2 linked regions of the Arabidopsis thaliana genome follow. The protein of the gene in region 1 interacts with the protein of each later gene in a pairwise test. Each region holds a gene or a part of one and is shown on either strand. Other genes may lie near its edges.

Region 1 (7,502 bases):
TAAAAAAGATTAATTGCAAAGTTGTTCGTGAAGAGCAAAAGCGAAATTAAATACATAAATTCGATCGGATGTTGAAAATCTCCGATCGGCGATGAAAGGCGTCTCTTCGACGCCCGGAGATTACGTCTACTTTAAATCTCAGGTTCCTCTTCACAAGATTCCCGTATGTTTCTTCTTCCTCTCTCTCTCTTTGACTTTTGATGAATTTTCGATTCTGCATTCTATTCGGCTACTAAATTAGGTTTAATCTCGAGCTTTTGAGGTTTTGATTTTTGTTTTTTTTTTTGTTGATTTTCGATTAATCTCATGTGGGTTTTAATCGTTTGGGTTTATGCAGAATTTTTTGTGTGAGTAGTTCTATCGTAAATGGGTTTATCCTGCTGAGTTTGGGTTCAAATTTTATGCTTAGAATTTTAATTTTTGGGTTCTTGTCTAAAAGCAAGAACTTGGTAGTCTTTAGTTTAGTGATGGGTATTCTCCATTTTTGATCTTTTTAACTTCTGTAGATTCTTTTAGTGTTGCTTTTGATTTGATCTATGAGTAGCCTGTGACACACTTAGTGATTTGTCTTTGTTTATGTTCGCATATTTAGTTCTTAGCTCTACTAATCCCAAGCAACTATTGAATGGCTCTATAGATGTAATGTTTGTTCGGGTTGTGTTGCTTAGAGTTTGGAAAACTGTGATTTGTTAAGCATTTGTACATGTATGTCCACTGTTTCAAGCTTCGGAATGAAAGATTTCATTTTTTTTGTTTTTTCTTGGAATGTCATTTGCTCAGAGCATAAACAATCTTATAAATATCTAGCTTTATGTGCATGCTAACTGCAGATTGGGACAAAGCAATGGCGTTACTATGACTTTGGTCCAAAGACTGTTCCTCCGCTCATATGTATTCCTGGAATTGCAGGAACTGCAGATGTTTACTATAAACAGATTATGGCACTCTCTATGAAGGTTTGTCAAGTTCTAGTCTTTCAACAGTTATCTGCAAACAATCTTTTCTTAATCACAGGTAGCTTTAAACATTTGTTAGGATATGGTAACTTAGATGCTTATGTGTTGATGTGATCCTTGGGGACTGATTAGATATCTCCAAAAATGTTGAACTTATGTTGTTAAATCTGCAATTCCAGGGTTATCGGGTAATCTCAGTTGATATTCCACGGGTTTGGAATTATCATGAGTGGATTCAAGCATTTGAGAAGTTCTTGGACACCATTGATGTTCATCACGTAAGATCTCTTTAAGTTACAAATCACCATCTAAGTTCCTAAATTTTTTTATTGGTGCGGAAATATATGGCATTGTAAGTGATTGTACTTGACCATTCTTAATAGGTGCATCTCTACGGTACTTCCCTTGGAGGCTTCTTAGCACAACTCTTTGCTCATCACCGTCCAAGGCGGGTTAAATCATTAGTTCTATCAAATACATATTTGGATACTCGTACTTTTGCTACTGCAATGCCATGGGCTCCTTTGTATGTCTCTCTTATACGATTATTCCTTCTTTATTTTTATTGTTTGTGCCTAAGTATTTGTACTGACTCTCAACGCTTTTCGTGATGCTCTGTGCAGTGTCAGTTGGACCCCTTCTTTTTTGCTTAAACGATACGTCTTAACAGGAATTCGTGACGGACCTCATGAACCCTTTATAGCTGACTCTGTCGACTTTGCTGTTTCTCAGGTTGCTATCCTGATTATTTCATCTATGATATTTTCTTGAACGGATCTGAATAACATGTGGACAAGGAATTTTAGATAAACTTACCAGCTCGGTTTCTTTGGTTTACTCTGATTTAGGTGGAGACATTGTCGAAAGATGATTTGGCTTCCCGGTTAACTTTAACTGTGGATGCTGCTTCCGTGGGATCTCTACTACTCTCTGATTCTTCAGTTACTATAATGGATGTAGGTTTCGATTAGCTATATACGGGACTTTTCGTATTATCAATGCAAGTAATTTTATCGTTGTCTAACAATGCTGTTATGTCTTCCAAATCAGACAAATGATTACTGCGCAATACCACAACATCTTAAAGATGAACTAACAGAGAGGTATCCTGAAGCAAGGAGAGCTTACTTAAAGAGTGGAGGAGATTTCCCATTCCTATCACGGCCCGACGAAGTCAATTTGCATCTACAGGTACATATCTACTCAGTATCTAAAGCCAAATTTGAAGTATACATATACTCAGTTTCGACAGCCGAATTTATATACTCCTAAGGCTCTTTTCAAGAAATTATGAACTTTTAAAGAAACTTGAAACTTCTCTACCTATTTTTTAGATTTCATACCGTTGAAGGGATTTTTTTTTCCAATCAAACCGGTTTTATTGCTTGGTAAAGGAACATCATGTTACTGCATCAAAACATTATATTCTTATGATGAATCTCACTCTTATGTTTTCAGCTACACTTAAGGCGGGTAGGAGTAGAACCACGACCCGAAGTGGTTAAAAGCATTCCAAAAGGCGGCGCAGATGGCACAGACGGTAGCAGCCAGAGCAAGAAGAAGAGTGATGAGGAGAAGGACGACCGTAACAACAATATGCCTCAAGACTCTGGAAGCTCATCTTCAGATCAATCACCGACATTTCCAGAAAGTTCCGGAAGCTCCAACGATCCGCCTTTACCCACAGACACCATTCAGTTACTGAGTTCATCATTGAACAACCTCATATTAGTTCAACTCGCTGGTGAAGTTTATCAGTCTTGTGTGGTTTTCACATTGTGTTACTGTACATTGGTTTTGGTTCACGGTGGTGGTTTTATCTCCAGACAATTGGTTTAGTGTTCTTTATTTATTTATTACCTCTTTTGTTGTTTAAATCTTTTTACTTTTGGGTTTCTTTGATCTGTTTTGGTTTCTCTTGACTTTTTGTATAAGTTTGTAAGACAAAGCAAGAGTTCTCTGTATGTTTCAAGTTATTACACTTTTGGAAGAAAACTTTGGTTGGGTTTTGGGATTAAACCAATGTGCTTTCTATTATTTACACATTTTGCTCTTTTAAAATTTAGTCGCTCATTATTTATTTGTTTTTATCTTTTACTGTATTCAAAACAATAACAGTAATAACCTAATGCAGTAGAAATTTGATAATTTTCTATGAACAGTGGTGTGTTTTGTTCCCTAATAAAGTTAAGGAAGAAAATTGTAACATTTACAAAGTTCAGGGTTATAGGTGTTATATTTTGTATTTCAATTCGTCTTCTTCTTTGCTCCAGATTGAACTTACATGAGAATCGCCGAACTCTAATCGGATCCGGGTCGGGTATGTAATGTAAACCGGGTTTTTTGAAGCCCCCATCTTCTCCGTCGATTTTAAAGATCCCGGCGATGTTTTCAAGATTTGTCCTAAAAAGTTGGAGACCTAAAACCCAAACCACATCTCTCAATTCAATCAAAGGTTTTAGCTTTAGCTCTAGCTCGATAAACCCTAAACCCAAAATCCGAGTAGGGGTTTGGTGGGATCTAGACAACAAACCACCAGCCTCTTTCCCGCCTTACGACGCCGCCGTCAAGCTCCGAACCGCCGCGTCGTCTTTCGGAACCGTGAAGCTAATGATGGCGTATGCGAATCGTCACGCCTTTAGCTACGTTCCTTTAGAAGTTCGAGAACAGAGGAAAGATAGGAAATTGCTAAACAAATTAGAGAACAAAGGTTTAGTTAAACCACCGGAGCCTTACTTCTGCGGTGTTTGTGACCGGAGATTCTACACTAACGAGAAGCTAATTAATCATTTCAAGCAGATTCATGAGACAGAGAATCAGAAACGTATGAGACAGATTGAATCTTCGAAAGGACATCGAAGAGTGAGACTTGTGGCTAAGTATTCGATGAAGATTGAGAAGTATAAAAGAGCGGCGAGGAATGTTTTGACTCCGAAGGAAGGTTACGGTTTAGCTGATGAGCTGAAACGAGCTGGTTTTTGGGTGAAGATGGTTAGTGATAAGCCAGATGCTGCTGATAAGGCGTTGAAGGAACATTTGGTTGAAGTGATGGATAAGAGAGAAGTGGAGTGTGTTGTTTTAGTGTCTGATGATTCTGATTTTGCGGGGATTTTGTGGGAAGCTAAGGAGAGGTGTTTGAGGACGGTTGTGATTGGAGATTCGAACGAAGGTGCGCTGAAGCGAGTAGCGGATGTTGCGTATTCGTGGAAGGAAGTGACGATGGGGAAGGCGAAGAAGGAAGTTGAGAAAGTTGTGGGGAAGTGGAAGGATAGAGATGTGTTGAAGAAGTTGGAGTGGACTTATGATCCTGCTTTGGAGAAAGAGAGAGGTGGTTCTTGCGGTGTTTGGGATTACGAGTTTGATTATGATGATGAGATTGAGAATGGAACAGAGGTGGAACCTGTGGAGATTGGTGATGGTGTTGACTGGTGGAAGATCGATACTGAAGATGGTGTTGGATCTTCAAGAACTTGTCGATAACATCATCGCATATGTCGTGGTTGATTGCGCAGAGGAAGATAACATGGTATAGGCTAGAGAACAATCTTGTGAATCTATTGGCATATTACATAAACTTCAGGCTAGAGAACATTCATTGTTTCTTGTTATAAGATTATGCAGTGATTTGATTTGTTCTTCCAAACCATCATCGTTAGTCAAGTGATTAGAGCTATGTAAAAATTGGTCAGAATAAGAATAAATATATGTTTGAATTCACAAGAAACAAGTGACAATAGATTGAATTACTACAGAGTATATGCATCAAAATCCAAGCTACTTTATTCCTCCGACATGATGGAAAAGACAATTGAGTTTCGACAATTGAAACATCTAAGTGATGAAGCTGTACATTGCTCAAAATCTACTAACAAATAAATGAAGCAAAATCTAGCAACACAGAAACAATGCAGATACGTAAGTGATTTTTCCTGGCAATGCAAGTGCTCGGTTTCAAAAGCTTAACCTAGAGCGAACTCCAAGCTCAACAAGGGGAAACAGAGACCATGACTTAAGCAGAGAGACAGAGCTCACCAAGAACTCTTCTTCTTCGAGCCAGTGTAAAAACCCATATACCATTTCACAAACTTTTTCAAACCCGTCTCAAGATCAACCGCAGGTTTATAACCGAGCTCTGCTTGCGCTAACGTGATATTGGCATGAGTAAACTCAACATCCCCATTCCTCGGTAGAGGCATGATCTTTTTCTTAGCTTTCATCTTCAAAAGCTTCTCTAATATAGTCACAAGCTTAGTAACAGGAACAGGAGAAGTATTCCCCAAATTATAAATCCTAAACATAGCAGGACCTTTCTTCTTACCACCACTACCAGTACTCTTCTCAGCAGTATCTAACGCACCTAAACAACCTTTTACAATATCATCAATGTAAGTGAAGTCCCTAGCAACACTACCTTTATCAGGAGATTCAAACACAGTAATCGTCTTCCCTTTAAGAATATCTTTAGTAAAGAAGAAATACGCCATATCTGGTCTACCCCAAGGTCCATAGACAGTGAAAAACCGCAAACCCGTTAACGATAATCCGTAGATGTGATTGTAAGTATGCGCAATTCCTTCACCTGCTTTCTTCGTAGCTGCGTACAAACTCGCTGGTTGATCGGTACGGTCTTTCTCCGAAAAGGGTACTTTCGAATTCAGACCATAAACAGAGCTAGAGGAAGCCCAGACTATAGCAGGTTGCGGATTCGCTGATTTCGATACTTCTAATAGATTCACAAACCCAGCAATGTTACTGTTAACATATGAGCCAGGGTTTTGCATTGCGTAACGCACACCAGCTTGAGCAGCGAGATGCATAACATGTGTGAAGAGGACAACATCAAAGAGCTTTCTGAGTAAAACGGCGTCGTTTATATCGCCTTCGACTACGAAAACACCTGATCTTTCTAAAAGGCCTTGTCTTGCTCGTTTAAGCTTTGGATCGTAGTATCGATTGAAATTGTCGAGACCTAGAACACCATCGCCGCGTCTTCGTAACGCGATCGAGACGTGAGTACCGACGAATCCGGAAGCTCCGGTGACTAATACCGTTAAACCGCCGTGAGACCTAGGACGAGCGGATTTACGGACTTGTTTCTCCCAGTGAGAGCCGCCGTATTTCGCGGCGGAAATGGAGGAAGAATCGTTGAGATTCCGGCGAGATGGTGACGGAGGAGGAGATAAAACGAGGTAGAAGAGGAAGAGAGCGAGGAAGAGAGAAGCCCAAAGGGTGAGTTTTGAGAGACGGAGGTAACGGTGGTGGTGGAGAATCCCGTACGGTGGAACTTTATCGGTTTTGTACTTTCCGGGAGTAGAAGGAAGATCATCAAGGTGAGACATTTTCACCGGAGGAGGATTTAGAAATCGGAGAAAATGTCGATTAGGGTTAGGTTTGGATTTTTGGGTCTTAAGGAAGCAAAATTGAGCAAGTCAAAAATGAGAGGATTTTCCGGGAAAGAAGAAAGAGACGATCTTTTACTTACTTGTTGTAATTAAATTAAATGTGGATGGTTTAATTTGGTTAATGATGTAAATTTATTTATTTGGTTCAATCTTTAAGATATGGTAATAAGAAAGCTGCCAGAGAGTATATTTAGATTCATGAATTTTAGATTGCTTTTCAAAGTTAAAACGTGTTTGTAGATTGTTGACATTTGTATAGTTGTATTGCATTCTATATTGATCATGTTATGCATGTACTTTTGTACACGATCACATATACACTATTTTTACACGCAATAATTGTTTAATAATATTTACTACTTTTGCTTTTAACTTCTGTATTTCTTTGTTCCGATTGATAATAAAAAGAAAAATTATACAATAACAAAAGGTTATAAGAAATGTGAAATAACGGGGGTAATAATGATAAAAATAGATATAAAATCGATCGTATCATGTCATATATATAAATAATATCTTTCGGGATTAACTTTTTTTAGTTCTAATTTATATCGATTGACAAAAAAGTAAATAATACAAAATCGGTTATTTTTGAGGAATTTTATTACGAGTTATTTTTTATTTTATGAAATTGATCTGTTTTTTAGGAGGTAAACAATAAAATTGCATTAAAAAATGTAGTGATTTTTTTATTTTTTAATAAGAATTTTCTACTTATAATGTGAACAATACTATGTGGATACATGCTAGTATGTTAGCAATGTGAACAATATTCGTGATAAGTTAAATATTATTTTAATTTAGTTTATGATTGTTATATCTCACCTAACCATTATTTTCGACATCAAACGAAAATTAATGTTATATATTCCTAGTGTCATAGTAAAAGCTTTAAGAAATAATCCACATTTAATAAGATATACAAATCGTAATATACCATATAATCACGCAACACTGATATTAATCAGCTTAGTATAGTTAACCTATCAGAAAATTGATCTCTTTATAATAAAATTCTATTTCTTTATGGTAATAAGGAGCCAAATCAATTACTACCAAAATATCGGTTATGCCATATACAGTTAATTTGTAATTACTCTGGTTAGATTAGGATATTATCAAAATCAAGATTGACTTTGTCCTT
Region 2 (8,343 bases), 7.2 Mb from region 1:
ATCTTCGGCTGAAGCATATCTTGGTGATATCCAAAGAACAACCATAACAAGAACAAGTAGATGATGATGGCAAGAACATTTTGACCTTATCATTGTGGTATTGTGTATATGATAAGTATGCTTATTGAGTAATGAGAAGATGACACATTCTCCTCTATTAATAGAGAGTAAGAGTACCTTATGGGTTTGATTCGTTAAAGATGTTACTTTTGATAAATGGAGTGAAAACAGATTTAATTTCTTTTAATTAATCTAATGTATAGCACACATGCGGAATTGTAATAGAGCTTGATAATTTGTTTTTGATAAAAATTAGTTCGTATGGTGTCTTAGAAGGAAAATAGTGGTCACTTGCTATATCTAATTGTTTCTATTTTGGTGATAACATAGATTAATACACATGTATATGTATAGAGTAGTAATAGGAACTTGAGATTTGAGCTAATAATAAGATTTTGATTACTTGAATTCGAATTCAAGCAATTGAGTTTTTACCATAGTAATAGCTTTAAAGTTTTCCAATGGTGATCATATATTGTCTTGTAAGGCTCTACTCCAATGGTTCTCTCTTAAATATTACACTAATTGATACACACATATAAATATAATTTGTATTCATGTTATTATTTCATCATCAACAATTATATATTGCTTAGCTCAACCCTTTATTCATTCACTTAGTTTCAAAAAATGACATTTTCTGATCAAACAATATGTCAATTTAGTATTAAAAAATTATTCAAAATTGATAACTCACATGATCACACATGTGTCATATCTATTAATTAGAGATTTTTTCATGTATAAAATCATTATAAAAAATTATATAATATTAATTAGAAATGTTGCTTATGTTTTGCATCTTGCTTATTTTTACTTGATTTTTTGTCAATACATTTATAAAAAAATTTATATATGTTTCTTATTAATACCTCTAAAGTTATGAATATAAAAATGGCTTATTGCTTCTATAGCCATAGGGCTAAACTTCATTTCGGCAATTCAAGAAACGCTCTGATTACACCGTACCTTCAATTACTCCAAATATCTTACAAGCATGCTTTGACTTTGTGAGCCTCGATTGGAACTGATTGTTCAACCAATAGTCGTGTTTTACAGTGTCTCATCAAGGTTTGGTTTACGTCGACCCTTCATAGCCGCTGGCACTATCCTCCTCTCACCATTGTGGTACTACTTATCGGCTATGCAATCGACGTTGGGGTTTTGATTGGTGATTATTGTCCAATCCATATGTATTTTACTCATTGGTTTATGTAGCTTAGTCCTTAGACATCGCTAAGATCATGTTCAAGGTCCGTGTAGGGCCTTCTAGTTGATGTAGAGGCGGGAAATGCTAAGAGAACACAAGTTGAAAACCAGCTTTTATAAAAATGGTGAAAAAAAAGACAAAATTGGCTCAAATTCTCTAGTAAATTAGGAAGATTGTTAAATCAAATGCATGCTTCGAAGATGTTGTTAAAATAGTGTGGACTACAAAGCAAACCAGAGTATCAAACTCAATTGAGTCGGGTTTAAATAATATTTTGGGCTGCTTGATATAAGAAAAAAAAACTTTATTGAACCCATTTAAGGCCCAATATAAGTGATAGGGAAAATGAGAAATGAGACTCATTGGTTCGTGTCTCGCGCCAGAATCAAGCCTCCTTCACGCTCAAGATTCCACCCAAGTTGTGGAGAACCGGTGTACTCTAGGCTGATTAAAACAACATATTCGATGGTCCAAGAGACCAAAGCAACTTCAACATATTGGCCTATAAGATACTCCATTTAATCAATGTAAATCATATAGTTCTTATATTAACATTCTAGACAACAATTTAAATACGAATTCGACCAAGTATATATATTACAAGGAGAAACATATGGCTAACTATAGATCTCTTACGGTCCAAATAAACAAACATACGATAAAAATAACTTCATTCTCGTTTTATCACTGACGAGGCAGAACCACTGGTTCCCGGCGATGGCTGAGCTGGCATTTGCCCACCGTGAATAAACTCACGCGCCAGTGCTTGGAGCTCACCGCCTCCGCCCATATTGGACGATGACGGGACGCCGAAGAGATGATCAGACGGTCGTGGTTGTTGCTGCATGGCCCAAGTGGAGGACATGACCGGCTCGAAGATGGAGGAGAGGTCGTACACCGACGGTGATATTGTTGGGAGGTCCGTTATGGAAAGAGCCTGTAGAGATCCTGAAGATGACACCGGAACCTGTGGTGGTTGAGGTTGTGGCAGCTCTAGAGTTGCTAAGTGTGCTTGTAGATATGAAAGCTCAGTTTGCAAACTTACCACCTGTTTTTTTTATAACGAAATTGAAATGGATAATAATGCCAACAAATATGAAAGAGTGATAAGAATCTAGATAAAATGATATTTTCAGCAATCTTTAATAATTGGAAGAGTTTCCGAATTCGAGCAAATGTTGTTGATTCAATAATGCCAAAAAAACACGACAGGAGTAATTGATCAATCAAGACCACCGATTTAGAAAAATATATGCTGAATAAAACAATCTAATTATAACACAAAAGACATTGTACATAACATATAAATAAATGCTTGCTTGTAATATTGGAAATATCCTTCACTAACATCAATTTATAGAATGCAATTGCATACGTTTGTATATATCTCGTGTATGTGTGTACTATATATGTATATTGCAATTAAAAGATAAACCAAAAAAAAAAATGATGCTTGGGAATAAGTGTAAAACAACGTGGTTGTTGCGAACAGAGGAAGATTTGTCATCTCAATCACTTGGAAACAAACCTTGTAAACATTCAACAAAACTTCACAATACATATGTGCTAAATGATCGCTTAACTTCCTTAATCCTAGCCAATTAACTACGACTGTAGAGATTTTAACTAGGAAATAGAGAGAAGTTTTCATATATATGCTATATGTGAAGTGAAATACACACACATAGAATTATGCTTTATGCATGTTTTCTTAACAAACTACTATTACTAAAAGTGTAAATCAAAAGATAAGCTTGTTCTATATCACATAAATATAGACTCATAGACACGACATTTAATATAAAGACATAACTTTGCCCAAAAGGCAAAGGCCATGAACCCAGTTGTAAAATTTTAGATTTTTAAAACTCTTATTTTAATGTAGAGTTGGTTTTCGATCATGGCAAAAACAAAAAATATTCATCCTTAAAAGAACAAATCGGAATGAATTAAAAAAAAAAATCGATGCATAAGAAAGGGTAATTTGCATCATTGCATGATGGGATATGATCCTAGAAATGACAATCAGAGGAGATCCATAGAATGGGAAAAAGTACTTAACTTTGTAGTTTAATTGAACATTAAGTCAAAATGAAAAATCTCATTTAAAAAAAAAAAGTTTGAAAACGCAATTTTCTTCAAAAAAAAAGAAGAAGTTAAAAACATAATTACATAGAAAATGATTAAAATAAAATGATCAACGTGACGATATAGAGACAGTAGATCAACTTAAAACTGTTGCAATTTCCCATCATAAATAGTACTAATCATATAATTAAACGTTATGAAAAGAATAATTAACCTGTTGCTGAAGAGAGACGATGTGAGAGACGCAGCCGTAGATAGGGTCTCTGAGACGAGCTTGAGCCTCAAAGCAGATTGAAACGACGGCGTCTGGTCGTTTATGCTCGGGAACATGGTGGAGGAGTTTGGAGACGTTGCTCGCTCCGAACACCTTGTGAACCGCCGCGAAGTGCGCCGCTCCTTGCTCGGAGTCAAAGTAAGGAGCGAAGATGCAGCCAGCGACACACTTCCTTCTCAAGAACTTGCACGCGCCGCACGGTCCTCCTCCTCCACCGCTGCTGCTGCTAGGGTTTCCGCTACTGCTCATCTTCCTTTTCTACCACACAAGTCCTTTTTATTTTCCTTTCCTTTTACTAGCTAAGTGGTGATTAGGGTTTTGAGATACATGGATTTAACTCATCGAGATTATGATGCTTTTTGGTTCGTGATTAGAGAAAAAAAAGAAAGGGAACGTTTGGGAGAGAAGAAAAGAGAGAAGGAGGAGATCGGACGTAAGCAAAACTAGGGTTTGGTTGTTGGTAGATAATAAAAAAAGTAAAATAATAATTTAATTAGTCTTGTTATTACCAAGACTAAAAAATAAAAAAGAGGTTAAGACAAGAAGAAGAAGAAGAAAAAAAAGACTTCAAAGCAACGCGATGGAGCGTACTTGTCTCGTGTTAAGCTCTTTGCGTGAAGCAAAACATTCCATATCTTTCAACTTCTTCATTGTTATTCCCTTTCCTTCACTTTTTCTACTTCTGGTTTAATTTTATTTTTGTTACATCGAACCACACAACTATCTTATGGTATATACCAATTGTAATATATGAACATTCAATCTAATACTATGAGAAATTAATTTTACAAACAAATAAATGTATAAAATGAGCTTAAATATATATATATATATATATATATATATATATATAATCTAATTAATTACTAATTTTTGGCGGTGATTTTAATGTGATAACTTTGTAGTCGAAATGTAACGGTTCACCGCTATGCGTTATTTTCTTTTTGGTTAATCGGATATTTTATCAACATTTGGCAACATTTTCTAGAAAATTTAAGCGGTTTTTTTCCGTTAGATTCTTTAAATAAAATTTTTTTTGCAAACTTTAATTTTACTTTTGTCGTATATGACACGAACATGTATATTATGATATTTGAATTAAGTGTATACCACGGCGATAATACCTATACAAATTACTAACTTTTTTTTTTTGGTTTTAGAAATTCACTGCCCCAAAGTATTTGTAAAAAACAATGTTCAATTTTGGTAATAGAATTCATAATTTATCCAAAAAATTAAAATACAAACTAAACTACTAATGTAACAAATTCACATATATTGCTGATGCTACATATATGTAAAATTGATAAAGAGGGAGGGAGAGAATATGCAATTTCCAAAACAACTAGATTTATTACATATGACCATGTAATGATTATATGCAAAAACTCGTATTTATTGACGGTATTAATGAGTTGATGTACGCAATCTATATTTGGGTCAGGGAATCATGTTTACTCAATATTCGATTAAGGTACAAATAAGGAAACTCCAACTAGTGCATATATTTCACAAATATTTGAACTTTCCGAAATTACAAGATCTATGTAATGTATAGTCTAGTCAGTGCGGATCTCCAATATATTATTACACGATAAATGAGTTTAAAATTTGGTGACGGCAAGAATGATCAAATACACGTGTGTACGTGTGCGTGTATAATATACATATCTCACATCATTGATTCAAAAAAGAAAAGAGTGACGATTACGACGGTCCAATAATAATCACCAAATGAGTAAAGCTAAGTTGGTTTAGAAGAAGAACCGGTGATCAAAACATAAAAGAAAGAAACCGGGATTGGATTTGAGAGAACCGGAAAAATTGGCACGTATATATGATCGCCATGTGTCGAATGTGACTTTTATGAAGAACGTAACCGTTCTGACGCAACCAATGGCTCGTTTGCGAGTGCATATGGTATACAAGTAACGCTCCCATTTCATTTCTTATGTTATTATTACTTGATTAATTATGAACAGTGAAAACTAATTAATTACATTACTTAGGAGATTAACAAATAGATTAGAAGAAACGGTAACAGTTGTTGACAGAGGTCACCGTGCCGTCCGGCTCTTGTCCAATCTTTGTTTGTACTAACATGAGACACGTGTCCTCGTATCACGCCCTCTTCTGCTCCTTTCCTCACCGCTTGCGTACGCTAATGTACACTGTTTGTATTTAATACATTCACTAGGCCTAATAGTACAAGAGAAACAGAAGAAAAAAACTATTCTTTTTGTCATATACGTACATTTTAGGTGTAATCACTACTATTAATCATTTCGCTATAAAGAAGGATCCGAAACAGATACAAGGCCCGGCCCATTAAGGAGAAGGCTTTAAATTAGGGAAGTGAACAAGGGTCAGGGATCTTGTCAAACAGAGAGAAAGAGAGACATGACAGTAACTGACTGACTGAGGTTGTACTTGCGGGGGAAGCAAACAGTGATCAGTGTCATGTCTGTTTCTGACTATACGATTTGTAGAAACAAGAAGCAACATACATCTCGATTTTCTCTCTATAATTCTATCACGAAAGCTGTCCATAGAGAACTAGTTTGACAAAAAATTATATACAGTATATAACATATATAAAAGAATTACACACGTGTGGTGAGGGATCGCACGTGTGTGTGACAGGGAAACCTGCGGCTGAGTGGTGAGAGAGAAATACGTCAGCAAGCAGCTAATTGTGTTTTGCTTCACGCAAAGCATTTGTGTTTGTTTGTCCTTTGTATATATCACAAATCTGCTCTGCCGTTGCTTCCAAGCTTTACTCATTCTAATTAGTACTAGTACATTCATTCTCATTACTATAATAATTCATAATCCCCACCACTTGATCCCTCGTTATAATCCGATTTTAGTACCTTGTTAACTGAACCCACCAGCCTATATATATCTTCATTACTCACTATCTAAAATTCTAAATCCTTACTTGTTCACTACTTTCTAGGCCTTGCTTGTGTGATAGACTGATAGTTAGTTCTAGATTCTCAGTGGCATATACAAAATCTTTTTATGTCTTAAACCTATGATTGCTAATTTAGATGATATATATTGTTGATTTGTCTACTTTTCAATTTACAAGTATATGTTATCCCTCCTTGTGTTATATGCTTTCATTGATTTTAGGAGTCCATAAATAGATAATTCTTTCACTTGTTTGAAAATAGCTTGTTTCTTGAGTGTGTGATTCAACTATGTACAGAAAAGTGAAACACACCAAGGAAAACAAAAAACAAAAATATGGACATACAAAAGAAAAGATGATCAAGTTATAGAAAAATGTAATGATTATAAATGACCCACCACCAAAAGCAAGACATGATTTTCTTGCCTGACACGATCCTCTATGCTCCACATCAACTTAAAAACATTTATTCATAAACAAACCCATCCATCTCTCTCTCTTAAACATCTCTTTGGATTGGATATATAATAACTGTGGTCGACGACGACACAACTTCCCCCAAACAAAACGTTACGTCTTTGACATAAAAGATGAGCGGAAGCACCACCGGTTGTGGAGGTCCATGCGGCGCATGTAAGTTTCTCCGACGGAAATGCGTTGCTGACTGTGTCTTCGCTCCCTACTTTGATTCGGTGGAAGGGACGTCTCATTTCACGGCCGTGCACAAGGTTTTCGGGGCGAGCAACGCCTCCAAGCTCCTCATGATGATTCCAGCCAGCCGGAGACTGGACGCTGTCGTCACGCTTACTTACGAGGCATTGGCTAGGCTTCGCGATCCCGTCTACGGATGCGTTGGTCATATCTTCGCCCTTCAACATCAGGTATTCAACTATATAAAACCCAATATTGTCACATATTTATGTATATATAATATATGTTTGATGATCTATATACATTGAAAGATTTACTATGCATGCATGCGTGTATTTAGTTATATAGAAGTTCATTGTATAATAAAATCATCCCATAACATTAGGTTAAAGATGAGATTTATATATCCGCATCTTTTAGCCACGTAACTTGTTACTTTTATAACAGTTCCATTTAATCGCCTCTTGGTTTCCTGTTTATTAGTTTTGAAAATTGCATAGTACTAATTCCACAATAAGAGTCAAAGTTGCTAATATTGAAAATAGCTAACGTGTGTCTTCCCAATGGCTCGTTTGTCGAAAACAGCGTTAAAGAAAGTCAAATCGTCATTCTTTGTGGTTACATTCCGACTTGTTTGTCTTTAATAGTATATCGGTTGAATAAAACAGTTTGAAAATTTTCTTCTAATACGAATAAATTAGGTTTTTTAAAAACTAATGTTATATGAACTTTTTAATTAAATAAACGTCCCACATGTGAACAGGTGATGAATCTACAGGCGGAGTTAGCTTACGTCCAAACTCAACTCTCAACATTACAAGGTCTTCCTCCGCCGAATTCTCAAAACAATTCACGGACAGAAGCAGCCTCTTCATCTAATGTGCCACTCATTTCTTCTGTCGATAGCAAAGACAATATGTCTTCCTCGTCGTCACACATTCCTTGTATGTCACAACAACAAGAACAAGAACAGCCAAAAGAAGCTATTGAGGTCCCAACAGAGTCAGTGGATCTTAGCACATTCTTTGGCCTGGAAAATCCAGTGGATGAGGACGGTGATCTTAACGCTCTTGCCCGTGAGTTCTTCACTAAGTATTTGACCGGAGGCAAATACCGACCATCTTCTTTAATATAACCATGTTA

Evidence for each region. The genes of interacting proteins can lie anywhere in the genome.
Region 2: the proteins of AT4G12240 (region 1) and JLO interact in a two-hybrid assay, tested with the Arabidopsis thaliana proteins (one large-scale study listed by BioGRID).

Annotation. Positions count from the first base shown.
Region 1 is NC_003075.7:7,284,554-7,292,055, forward strand, and holds AT4G12240 (zinc finger (C2H2 type) family protein), read left to right. Parts: upstream 1-3,249; 5' UTR 3,250-3,341; coding exon 3,342-4,436; 3' UTR 4,437-4,672; downstream 4,673-7,502. Other genes in the region: AT4G12230 (alpha/beta-Hydrolases superfamily protein), read left to right, coding at 92-163, 831-956, 1,136-1,234, 1,340-1,482, 1,580-1,688, 1,805-1,912, 2,007-2,147, 2,415-2,795; GAE5 (UDP-D-glucuronate 4-epimerase 5), read right to left, coding at 4,985-6,295.
Region 2 is NC_003075.7:85,685-94,027, reverse strand, and holds JLO (Lateral organ boundaries (LOB) domain family protein), read right to left. Parts: upstream 4,121-8,343; 5' UTR 3,882-4,120; coding exon 3,573-3,881; intron 2,319-3,572; coding exon 1,941-2,318; 3' UTR 1,773-1,940; downstream 1-1,772. Other genes in the region: XSP1 (xylem serine peptidase 1), read right to left, coding at 1-93; LBD31 (LOB domain-containing protein 31), read left to right, coding at 7,140-7,430, 7,964-8,335. UniProt on the Arabidopsis thaliana protein: Involved in the positive regulation of tracheary element (TE) differentiation. Involved in a positive feedback loop that maintains or promotes NAC030/VND7 expression that regulates TE differentiation-related genes.